Linked DNA regions of Ovis aries. The protein of the gene in region 3 interacts with the protein of the main gene of each other region in a pairwise test. Links are inferred from orthologs where the notes say so. Each region holds a gene or a part of one and is shown on either strand. Other genes may lie near its edges. The genes, in order: myosin-7, ACTC1 and MYBPC3.

The links.
Region 1: the proteins of MYBPC3 (region 3) and myosin-7 interact in a two-hybrid assay, tested with the Homo sapiens proteins (2 studies listed by IntAct). The link is inferred for Ovis aries from reciprocal best matches to the Homo sapiens genes MYBPC3 and MYH7.
Region 2: the proteins of MYBPC3 (region 3) and ACTC1 interact in a two-hybrid assay, tested with the Homo sapiens proteins (2 studies listed by IntAct). The link is inferred for Ovis aries from reciprocal best matches to the Homo sapiens genes MYBPC3 and ACTC1.

The regions. Positions count from the first base shown.
Region 1 is NC_056060.1:21,310,489-21,314,137, reverse strand, and holds part of myosin-7, read right to left. Parts: intron 3,414-3,649; coding exon 3,158-3,413; intron 2,574-3,157; coding exon 2,331-2,573; intron 2,185-2,330; coding exon 2,008-2,184; intron 1,201-2,007; coding exon 1,055-1,200; intron 1-1,054. UniProt on the Homo sapiens protein: Myosins are actin-based motor molecules with ATPase activity essential for muscle contraction. Forms regular bipolar thick filaments that, together with actin thin filaments, constitute the fundamental contractile unit of skeletal and cardiac muscle.
Region 2 is NC_056060.1:28,471,767-28,474,615, reverse strand, and holds the end of ACTC1 (actin, alpha cardiac muscle 1), read left to right. Parts: intron 1-43; coding exon 44-205; intron 206-333; coding exon 334-525; intron 526-1,307; coding exon 1,308-1,489; intron 1,490-2,016; coding exon 2,017-2,160; 3' UTR 2,161-2,347; downstream 2,348-2,849. UniProt on the Homo sapiens protein: Actins are highly conserved proteins that are involved in various types of cell motility and are ubiquitously expressed in all eukaryotic cells.
Region 3 is NC_056068.1:76,122,829-76,126,913, reverse strand, and holds the start of MYBPC3 (myosin-binding protein C, cardiac-type), read left to right. Parts: upstream 1-1,258; 5' UTR 1,259-1,313; coding exon 1,314-1,338; intron 1,339-2,422; coding exon 2,423-2,689; intron 2,690-3,258; coding exon 3,259-3,372; intron 3,373-3,450; coding exon 3,451-3,543; intron 3,544-3,634; coding exon 3,635-3,783; intron 3,784-4,085. UniProt on the Homo sapiens protein: Thick filament-associated protein located in the crossbridge region of vertebrate striated muscle a bands. In vitro it binds MHC, F-actin and native thin filaments, and modifies the activity of actin-activated myosin ATPase.

The DNA.
Region 1 (3,649 bases), on a different chromosome or scaffold from region 3:
GAGGGGCTGCCAGTGGTTGGAGATGGTAATGAAACAAATGAGGAGCAGGATTTCGTGGAAAAAAAAAACCAACAATAACCAGCTTCCAGGGCTGTTGTAGGGTCCTTGAAAGTGTAACACCTGCTGGAGGATTGAAATTCAATAGGAAGTACAACAGGAAGAGCACTGTAGGTGGAGAGACAGGACCTGGGCTCCGAGATGCTCCCTTCTTTGGTCTGTAAAATGAGGGCATTGGACTAGACCGACTCAAAGGCACCTTTTAGCTCTGATGGTCTTTAATTCTGTGTCTGTTACTTTGGGAAATTTGGTAAGCTTTCCAAGCCTTCCTTTCCTCTTTGGTAAGTGGGGTTCAAGTACCATTCTTAAAAGGTCGCTTGAGGATCAGTGGGTTCATATAGTCATTCATTCAACAAGTACTGTGCCTGGGTACGTGTGAAGACTTTCTGGGGAGGCTGTTGATCAGGATGAGTCTCAGAGCCTTTCAGAGTCCTGACCCTAAAGCAACAGAAGATCTTTGATTGTATGAATATGTGCGCAGACTCACTCTTTGCCAAGTGTGAAATGTGTATCTACACATTTTGGAAGGTCTTGCAATAAGAATTGGAACCAGAAGATCATTGAACAAAGAAGTAGCCAGACCCTGCACTGCTCACACGTGGTGGCTGACCACGTTTCTCTGTGGTCCTCTGGGCTCTCTGTGAAGGACCTCAGAGGACTTTCCTGAGAGGCTTTTGTGTGGAACTTTCCTCTGTGTTATGCAACTGGTCTCCAAAGAGACTTGTGTATAAAGGGGGCGAGTGCCCAGCAGGAAGAGAGGGCTGGAGGGATCTGGGTTAGACTTTTGCCAGGGAGGCCTGCTGGGCCCTCATGTGTGTGTCTGGGGGAGGAAAGCTCTCTTCCTGGAGGCTCTGCCCACAGTTTTGCACCCCCTTATGGACGCTGCATGAGGCTGTTGCCTCTGAGGATGGATCTGTCGGGTCAGCTAGTACTTCCATGAGTGGACCAGGCTGCGGGTGGGGGAGGAGGATGGGTGATGGGGCAGGGAACACGCTACTTTTTGAGCCGCTCATCCAGCTGCTGCTTGTCGTTCTCCAAGTCCATGATGCTCTCCTGGGTCAGCTTCAGGTCACCCTCCAGCTTCCGCTTGGCTCGCTCCAGGTCCATTCTCACCTTCTTCTCCTGCTCCAGGGATCCCTCCAGCTGATGAAGAGAAGGACCAGTGTGACCTTAGGCCAAGTATCCTGACTTGATAATTTAGGAGCTCGTTCTTTCTGGGGCTGAGGGATCCTTAGAGGTGTCAAGACTTGGGAATACTTCCCCAGAATTGGCCAAATGTGGCCAGGGCATTGTGAGAGCGCCTACCACGGAGGGATGCTCAGTAACTCTGATAAATTACTGAATGAATGACTATAGGATAAAATCCCAAAGCTACTTTCATTTAATCATCTGCATCCTGTAAGCACCTACTGGGGTCCAGGCCCCATCCTAGGCACTGCAGATGCAAAACTGAATAAAACCAAGTTCCACCTAAAGGCAGCTTCCAGTCTATGGATGGGACCCATACTTCAATAATGATGACACAGAGCGATAAAGAATGATTCAGTAGAGGTGTACTCGAAGGACTACCTATGGGAGCAGTGATCACTGAGGACCAGATCCTGGCTAAACCATTAGAAGTCCAAAGATCCTCCTTGAGGATCTTCACAAAATTCCCAAGGAAATTCATCATGTTCTTATGAGATAACCCTCTAAATTCCGTGGTTGAATGGAGACATATAGGCTTGAACCTAAAGTGAAATAAAGAAGCCTATCTCTACTCTTGATCACATCAGCAAGGTGAGATACATAACTCTGAATTGATCACCCCTCTCCTTGTCTATTCCCCAGTTCCCTTCTAAAAGGTATCAGGAGAGGAACACTCTCTAACCCCACTCCCCCAAACACACATATGCACACACAGACACTGACAGACCTGGTACATCTAGACCCTTGTGATAGTGTACTTACATCGTCCACATGCTGTTCCAGCTTGACCTTGGCCTTGGTCAGGGTGTTGACCTTGTCTTCCTCAGCCTGAAGGTCATCCAGGGCCTGCTGGTGGGCCTCTTGCAGAGCTTTCTTCTCCTTGGTCAGCTTGGCGATGATCTCATCCAGCCCAGCCATCTCCTCTGTCAGGTTCTTCACCTGTTGGCCAAGAACCCCATCCCCCCCAGGGTCAGACATCACCAACTTGGAGACATCTATGGAGACCTCCAAGGCCAAGAGCCAGGACCACGCTCAGGTCTGGGAATCCTGAGACTTGGTCTGGATTCAAAGGGAGCTGCCTTCACCTTGTTCTCTGTTGCGTGCTTCTCCTTCTCCACCTTGGCCAGGGTCAGCTCCAGGTCATCAATGTCCCTCTTGAGCTCAGAGCACTCATCTTCCAGCTTGCGCTTCTTGGCAGTGAGCTCAGCGTTCATCTCCTCCTCGTCCTCCAACCTTTCGGTCATCTCCTTCACCTTTGCCTCCAGCTGGATCTTGTTCTTGATCAGCTGGTCACAGCGCTCTTCCGCATCAGCCAGGTTGTCTTGTTCCTGAGGGCAAGGTGCAGAGGGGAAGCTATTCGGTGGATGGGGTGGATGGCAAAAGCTTGGAGGGACAGGCTCCACCTTCACTGTAAGAGGGAAACCCCAGGATCTCCCCAGCTGAGAAGAACCTCAGAGGGATGGGGAGGGGAGGAGTTTTAGGGCAATGTGACAGGAGCACTGGGGAATGAGAGCAGAGAGGAAGGGAACCAGAAGTCTCTTTATCTGGCCCTCTTCCTCTGGTCTCCTCCATCAAAGGGGAGGGAACTGTATTTGTTGATGCCAGCACTTTACATATTTACAGCCTGGTGAGAAGGGCAACTTTATTCCCTGTCTAGAGATAAGGACATGGAGACCCAGAGATAACACATCATTTGCCTCAAGTCACAGAATTATTAAGCTATGGATCCAGGTTAAATCCTGATGGAAAACCTGTATTTTTAAGTTAATGCTTTCTCCCCTTCCCTTTCTTTGGAGGACTTTGGAAGTGTTAATTCCAGAATCCTCCGCCTGTGAGGGCACAGGATGGTGAGCCCCCAGGTAGGGAGGTGCAGGGGGTGTGGGAGATGTGGGCAGAGGCCTGGGGCTCTCACCGCCTGCACTTGGAGCTGCAGGTCATTCTTCTCCTGCAGCAGGGACACCATCTTCTCCTCCAGCTCCTTGCGCCGAGCCTCCGACTTCTCCAGAGCCTCTTTGAGGCGCCCAAACTCCTCCTTCATGGTGGCTATTTCCTTCTCTGTCTCTGCGCTCTTCAGCAGTGGTTTGATCTTGAAGAAGAGCTTCATCCAAGGCCAGTTCTTGACTCCCATGAAGGCCCGAATATTCCACTGGATAATCAGCAGGGAGTCTCTGCAGGGGCCGAGTGAGAAGGTCAGTGAGACAGCCTCTTCCCTCCTTCCGGCCCAGAGGCCCTGGCTCCTCCATCCATCCTGCACTGTGACAGCGAGGCACCACCCCCAGCCCCCACGCCCACCACTGGTGTTTGTAGCTGTGTTGTGGCCCTTTGTCACTTGAAGGTCTGGGGTGCTCTTTCTCCTTCCAGTGCTCTGAGTCAAGCTGGGCCTTAGAGGCCTGAGACCCTCCCT
Region 2 (2,849 bases), on a different chromosome or scaffold from region 3:
GTCCTCAGAGATTTACCTTGTTTTTGCCTACTGCCTCTGATAGGCATCGTTCTGGACTCTGGGGATGGTGTGACCCACAACGTCCCCATCTATGAGGGCTATGCCTTGCCCCACGCCATCATGCGTCTGGATCTAGCTGGTCGGGATCTCACGGATTACCTCATGAAGATCCTCACTGAGCGCGGCTACTCCTTTGTCACCACCGGTGAGTCTGTGTGTGTTTCATCTGCCACAGTAGGTGTCTGGTTTTCTCCTCCACCAGTGAACCCACCTACCTCTCCAAAGCTGATGTCATTCTTCAGAGCTTACTGGTGACCCTCTTTTTTTCTGCAGCTGAGCGAGAGATTGTTCGTGACATTAAAGAGAAGCTGTGCTATGTTGCTCTGGATTTTGAGAATGAGATGGCTACAGCTGCTTCTTCCTCCTCTCTGGAGAAGAGCTATGAACTGCCTGATGGCCAAGTCATCACTATTGGCAATGAGCGCTTCCGCTGCCCTGAGACGCTCTTCCAGCCCTCCTTCATTGGTGAGTTGTCTGGTCTGGTGCAGAAACACAGCTTGGGGCTTCCAGAGAAAAATCTATTATAATCAACAATGATTAAGGGGCCCTTGTGTTGAAAGTAGTCATAGCTGGGAGACCCACACAGTTCAGCCTCAGGTCCCAATGGCTTTTGCTGGGATGGCCATTCCTCCTCTGCAGCAATGATATGATAAAGGATGACACACCGGCTTCATCTTGAAACGAGGAATGAGATAGAGTAGTAACTGAATAATCCATATCTGCAAGGAAGAGACGATGACTCAAGAGTGCTGACTTATTCTGGTATATTCCATCACCAAGTAGCTAGACCGTACTTCCAAGTCATTCATTATGAAGTGTGACAACAATCCTACTGATGGTAATAACTGGACACTCACGTGTCACTGAACATCTTTCCTAAGCAGGGATTTCCAAGAGGAAGCTTGTCAGTATCTTATTTTAGCCCATAAATAAGAATGACATTCATTTCACATGAATGTGTGTCTCGTGCTTTTCTATTACGTCTTCATGGCTCTGATGGGTACAGCGAGTGTTCCCTCCAAACAGGTGCTAAAAGCAGTTGTTTGTGTCTTGGCAGTCTGTTGTAGATTACTCTCAGCACTTTTAAGACACCTGTTCCTCAAAACTCTGCAGTGTATCTCATAGAGGAACATATGTTTCAGAGACGAATGGTGACAGTTTACCAACACAGAGGAGTCTTGTTCTCTTTCCTCCACCCTGGCTCCATGGCCTGAATGCACTGTGACTTTTTAAAAACTTGTTCATAGGTATGGAATCAGCTGGCATCCATGAAACGACTTACAACAGCATCATGAAATGTGACATTGATATTCGCAAGGACCTGTATGCCAACAATGTCTTATCCGGAGGCACCACCATGTACCCTGGTATTGCTGATCGCATGCAAAAGGAAATCACTGCCCTGGCTCCCAGCACCATGAAAATCAAGGTAAAGAACTTCTGTGGTGGGGTGGGGGCAACCAAGCAGAATTCCTAACTCCTTTCCCCTCACACAAATAGCTTCCTGTCTCACAGAAACCTTTTGCTTTTATAGCACCTTTTCTGACTTTACTGGCACTTTCCCCAAGATAGGAGATTTTAAAACACTTTAGAGCAGTGGATAAAAATAAATCTTTGAGAAAAAAAAAAATCTGAATCTTTGAACATATTTTAAAAGACCCCAACTTTCAGGCTAGGCTTCACCATGCCTATAGCTTATTGCCGCATATTCTCTGGTTCAGAGAAGTGGGAAACTTCTACTTCACAGAGTCTTTGATCATGAAATGATGAAATAGAGAAAAATGCTTTCATTGTGAGTCAACCATATTCATTTGTAGGATTACTGGGCTTATTCATTTGTATCACATTACAGTGACTTGATCACCGGTGTATTTTCCGTGAATCTCCCCACCATGTTGCTTACTCTGTTGCTTGGAACCTCAGAGTTCACTGGCAGTTTTTGCTTTCCTTTTGCAGATTATTGCTCCTCCTGAGCGTAAGTACTCTGTCTGGATTGGGGGTTCCATCCTGGCCTCCCTGTCCACCTTCCAGCAGATGTGGATCAGCAAGCAAGAGTATGATGAGGCAGGCCCCTCCATCGTCCACCGCAAGTGCTTCTGAGGTGCCTTCTCTCTTAGTCTACATTACATTCAGGATGATGGTATGATGCTTTTTGGAGTCTTCTGAACCACCCTCCCTCATCTCTCATCAATCATTGTACAGTTTGTTTACACACGTGCAATTTATTTGTGCTTCTAATATTTATTGCTTTATAAATAAACCAGATCAGGACTTGCAACCTACAAAAGCAAGCATTTCTTATTTCTGTTTGGGGTTTGGGGAAGGAGTGGGATGGGGCCAAGGTTTGCTTACTCAGTCTGTGAGCTTGTATACTGATGGCCTTGATACCATGAGCTTTGTAATATCACAGCACCACATCCGTTCATCAGCGTGACTTTGAGCTGGGAGCTACAATATTAAATTTTGATTTTACCCTTTGGGACAGAATCATGAAGATAATTTATATCTGAAAAGCAGATTAGGTTTTTAGTTCAGTTCAGTTGCTCCATTATGTCTGACTCTGTGATCCCATGAACTGCAGCATGCCGGGGTTCCCTGTCTATCACCAACTCCCAGAGGTTGCTCAAACTCATGTCCATTGAGTTGGTGATGCCATCCAACCATCTCATCCTCTGTCATTTCATTAGTGTGATTAGGTTTAGGTCCACATTAGTGAGAAATGGATTGGAGAATACAGCTTGTGAAGATTAGTTTCTATGATAACACTGAAAATTGTGGTTTTAGCACAT
Region 3 (4,085 bases):
CTGCCATGGCTGTGCGAGGCGGGAAGCTTCATGTGTCTGCAAGGGGGTAAAGTGCAGCTTGACCAGGAGCAAGAATGAAGCCCCAGAGCTCCGGTAAGCAGCAGAGCAGCTCATGGAATCCCTGCTGGCAGGACCCTGACACAAGAGAACTCCTCCCACGTACCCTGGTGCCTGGTTGTGCTGGCCTCTGGCCCACAGCAGGGGAGAGGCAGAAAAACATGAGCCATGAGACTTGTAAGGGTTTTGCTTCCAACAGTAGCAAGAAGAGGCGGCCGGCAGCCTGGGAGTGAGGGAACTCTCATCAGCAACCCACAGACCTCAGAGAATCCAGATTCTGGGGCCATTTGTGTTGGGGCAGACACCCTCTGGAGTGCCCTGAGCCCTCAGGCTGGGGAAACTCAACCATAAGCCCCCTCCATGGATCTCTGAGCCCCGAGCTCAGTCTCTGAATTTTTATGGATTAATTTATTTTAAATATTTGGCTGTGTCATATGGGATCTTGGTCCCCCGACCGGGGACTGAACCTGGCCACCAGCAGTGGAAGCGCAGAGTCCTAACTCCTGGACCACCGGGGAAGTCCCAAAGTCCCGATGCCTTTTGAAAGACGGCCCAGGGACATGAGATGCAGTTTAAACGTGGTTAAAATGGCAGAAGAGAATGGATTTATGTTGAAAGGGATGGCAAGTGTTGACCACACGGACAATGCTTGTATATAGAATTCCTTGCTCCTGACAGTTGAGGGGCGGAGCAAATGACCTTCCCTGATAGTGGGTCTTGCTCACAGTAGGTCACATGTGATTTGCTCCTTTCTATGTAGAGGCTGACGTTCTTTGCGACTTTGGCGGGGTGTGGGGTGTGGAGGCAGTTGCGGGGGTTCAGAAGGACACTGAGGGAAGCTGGGACTCGGGGTCTGTGGGTGTAACCATCACCCGACATGGATGCCTCTGACCTGACAGCTTCAGGGTTCTGGGCCCCGCACACTCCCACCGCTCAATTTGCCTGTCACAAGGACACACGGACAGGGCTTGGGGTGCCCCTGTGTTCACTGAGGGTTGGGGGGCAGAATCTGTCCTGTGGGGTTGGTGGAGGAGGGGGAGGGGCCAGGGGCCAGCAGAGAAAGCCAGGGCCACACATTCTCCTGGAGAGCCCTTGATCTCGGGAATTTGTCTATATTTAGCAGGTGGCCGGGCAGGGTGCAGATAAGGAAGGTCTGGAGAGGGGGCGGCCCCTTATATAGTCGGGGACCGGAGCCCTGCTCAGAGTCTCTTTGGGTGGCCTGTGCCTGCTGGGTTCCTGCTGTGACCTCTCTCAAGATGCCTGAGCCAGGGAAGAAACCAGGTAGCTCCAGGCCTGGGCTGGGGGCCAATCGTGGGGCATGGAGGGCTGCGGACATCCTCGGTTGGGGGTGGGCCCAGGAATGAGCTCCTGAGGGGTTCCCAGGACAGGGCCTCTGTCCTCCTGGGTCCTTTTTCAATTCTCAGTTTCTCCTTCTCATCGTTCTGATGAGAGTGAGGGTAAACCAGGGTCAGGGGCCCAGACGGGGAGACAGCCAAGGCAGGAAGCCCCCAGGGCCATCGCCCCACTCTCAGGATGCCAGGTAACCCCTTCCCTGCCTGCATCCCCATCTTCTGCAGCAAGGTTAGGTCCCGGCTTGCCTTTTGGGGAAAGACTGCCGCAGGAGGCACCCCAGGATGGCTCCAGACTCAAGTCTGTCTCCCTGAACACCTTGGACAGGCCCCTCCCCTTTCTGGGTCTCGGTTTCCCCAACTCTACAAAGAGGGCTTTGGTGGGTTGCTTCCTGTTCTGAGAGTCTCTGCTTTGCCAGCCTGCGCCCCTGTGGCCCCCACACCAGGCATAGCCCCCACACTGAAGTGATGCAGGGCCTCTGCTCTGGGGAGAGGGTGGGCAAGAGGTCCCTGAGCCACCACCAAGGGCAGAGAAAGTCACAGCCTGGAGTCCCCGCCCTGGCCTTCCAAGGTTGTCCAGGTCAGGGATCAGCCCCCCAGCCCCAGCCCTCTCCCAGTCCAGCTTTATCTCACTTGCTGATTCCCAGCCCCAGGCCCTTAGAGGACAAATTTAGCCATGTCCAAGTAGGCAGAATGCTGGCCCCTTGCCAAAGGCCCCAACTGGTGGGGGTTGGGCTTCCACAGGCAGAGAGGGTGGGCTCTTCAGGGACACACCTAGCAAAATTCCTCAGGCCTGGCTCTCCCACTTCCTGGCTGTGTGATCTTGGGTAAGTCACTTAACTTCTCTGAGCCTCAGAGACCTCCTCTGGGGATAACTGCACCTACCTTGTAGAGCCACTGGAGCATTAAATGAGGTGATCCATTAAAGCGCTCATCACCTTATTTAATAAGAGGGGATGTAGGAATGGGGTGCAGGGGCAAGCCAGGGACCCCTGCAAACTCCATCGGCCCCTCAGTCTCCGCCTTCAGCAAGAAGCCGCGGTCCGCAGAAGTGGCTGCCGGCAGCCCTGCCGTGTTTGAGGCCGAGACAGAGCGGGCGGGCCTGAAGGTGCGCTGGCAGCGGGTGGGCAGCGACATCAGCGCCAGCGAGAAATACGGCCTGGCAGCCGAGGGCACGCGGCACACGCTGACAGTGCGGGACGCGGGTCCCGCCGACCAGGGCTCCTACGCAGTCATTGCTGGCTCCTCCAAGGTCAAGTTTGACCTCAAGGTCGTAGACGCAGGTAAGCGTCAGGGCAGCCTTCCCTGAAATTGGAGCAGCCCCTCCAGCTCTCTGTCCATCACCGCACAGGAGCTGTCTTCCCACTTTCTTGCCTTGGCCCTGGGTGAGCCTTCAGCCCGCCGTGGCCTTTTCCCGTTTTCTGTAGCAAGACCTTTCTGAGTGTCCCCGCGAGGCTCCCTGGCCCATCTGGGCCGTTCTGGAGGTGGGGGAAGTTCAGAGATGAGTCAGACGTAACACTGACCTCCCGCTGGACACCCCCACACGGATGGGAACTTGGTGGGCTGGGTGTGCTGGCAGGGAAGCCCCACAAACCTGTGGGTGTGTGCCGAGCCCCAGCCCAGCCTGACGGGCTGGACCAAGACCCGAGCCTGGAGAAGGAGAGGAGGGATGTTCAGGCCGACCCTCTGAGATGAGGGCACAGAGAGCTGGTGAGGGCAGGGAGAAGGTCAAACGCAGGCTGGATGGACTTCCTGCAAAGATGGGAAGGACCAGGGACAAGATAACTGGGGCGGGGGGCAGGGCGACTCTGATTAGAAGCTGCTCCACAACCCCCGACCTGATCCCCTCCAGGGAAAGCAGAGCCTGTGTCAGCCCCTGCTCCCGCCCCCACCGAGGCCCCTGCAGCCCTGGGAGAGGCCCCAACCTCTGCCCCTGAGGTGGAAGCAGGCGCCCCTAGTCCTGAAGGTGAGAGGAGTGGGGCAGGGAGGCCGGGTCTGTGGATGGGGGTGTCCCAGGGCAGGTCTCAAACGCCTCTGCCCACAGGGTCCAGCTCAGCGGCCCCTGAGGGCCCCAGTGCCCCTGGCGACCCCATCGGCCTCTTTGTGATGAGGCCACAGGACGGCGAGGTGACCGTGGGTGAGTGCGGGGCTGTTGCCCCCGGGGGCGAGGAGAGGGGACGGAGGTCCAGGGCGTCCCCCAAGCCCAGACGGTCGCCCCTCTCCTGCAGGTGGCAACATCACCTTCTCGGCCCGCGTGGCCGGAGCCAGCCTCTTGAAACCGCCCGTGGTCAAGTGGTTCAAGGGCAAGTGGGTGGACCTGAGCAGCAAGGTGGGGCAGCACCTACAGCTGCGCGACAGCTACGATCGGACCAGCAAGGTGGGGTCCGCGGGCGCAGGGTCACGGGGACGCACCGCGAGGGCACGTGGAGAGCCCCTGGAAGGCCCAGGGGCACAGAGAGGCAGGGGGCACTGTGAGACCTGAGCCACAGGGGAGGTGCAGAGCAGGGTCGTGGAAAGCCTGCAAAGCTGGTTGGGGGGTCAGCGGCACACAGCGAGCTTGGCGAGGCTCCGAGGAGGGTTATTGGGGGGCATAGAAGGACATGGGGGCTCAGAGGCGTGATAGTCTCAGGGGTGCGCTCAGTCGCATCCGACCTTTGCGACCCCATGGACTGTAGCCCG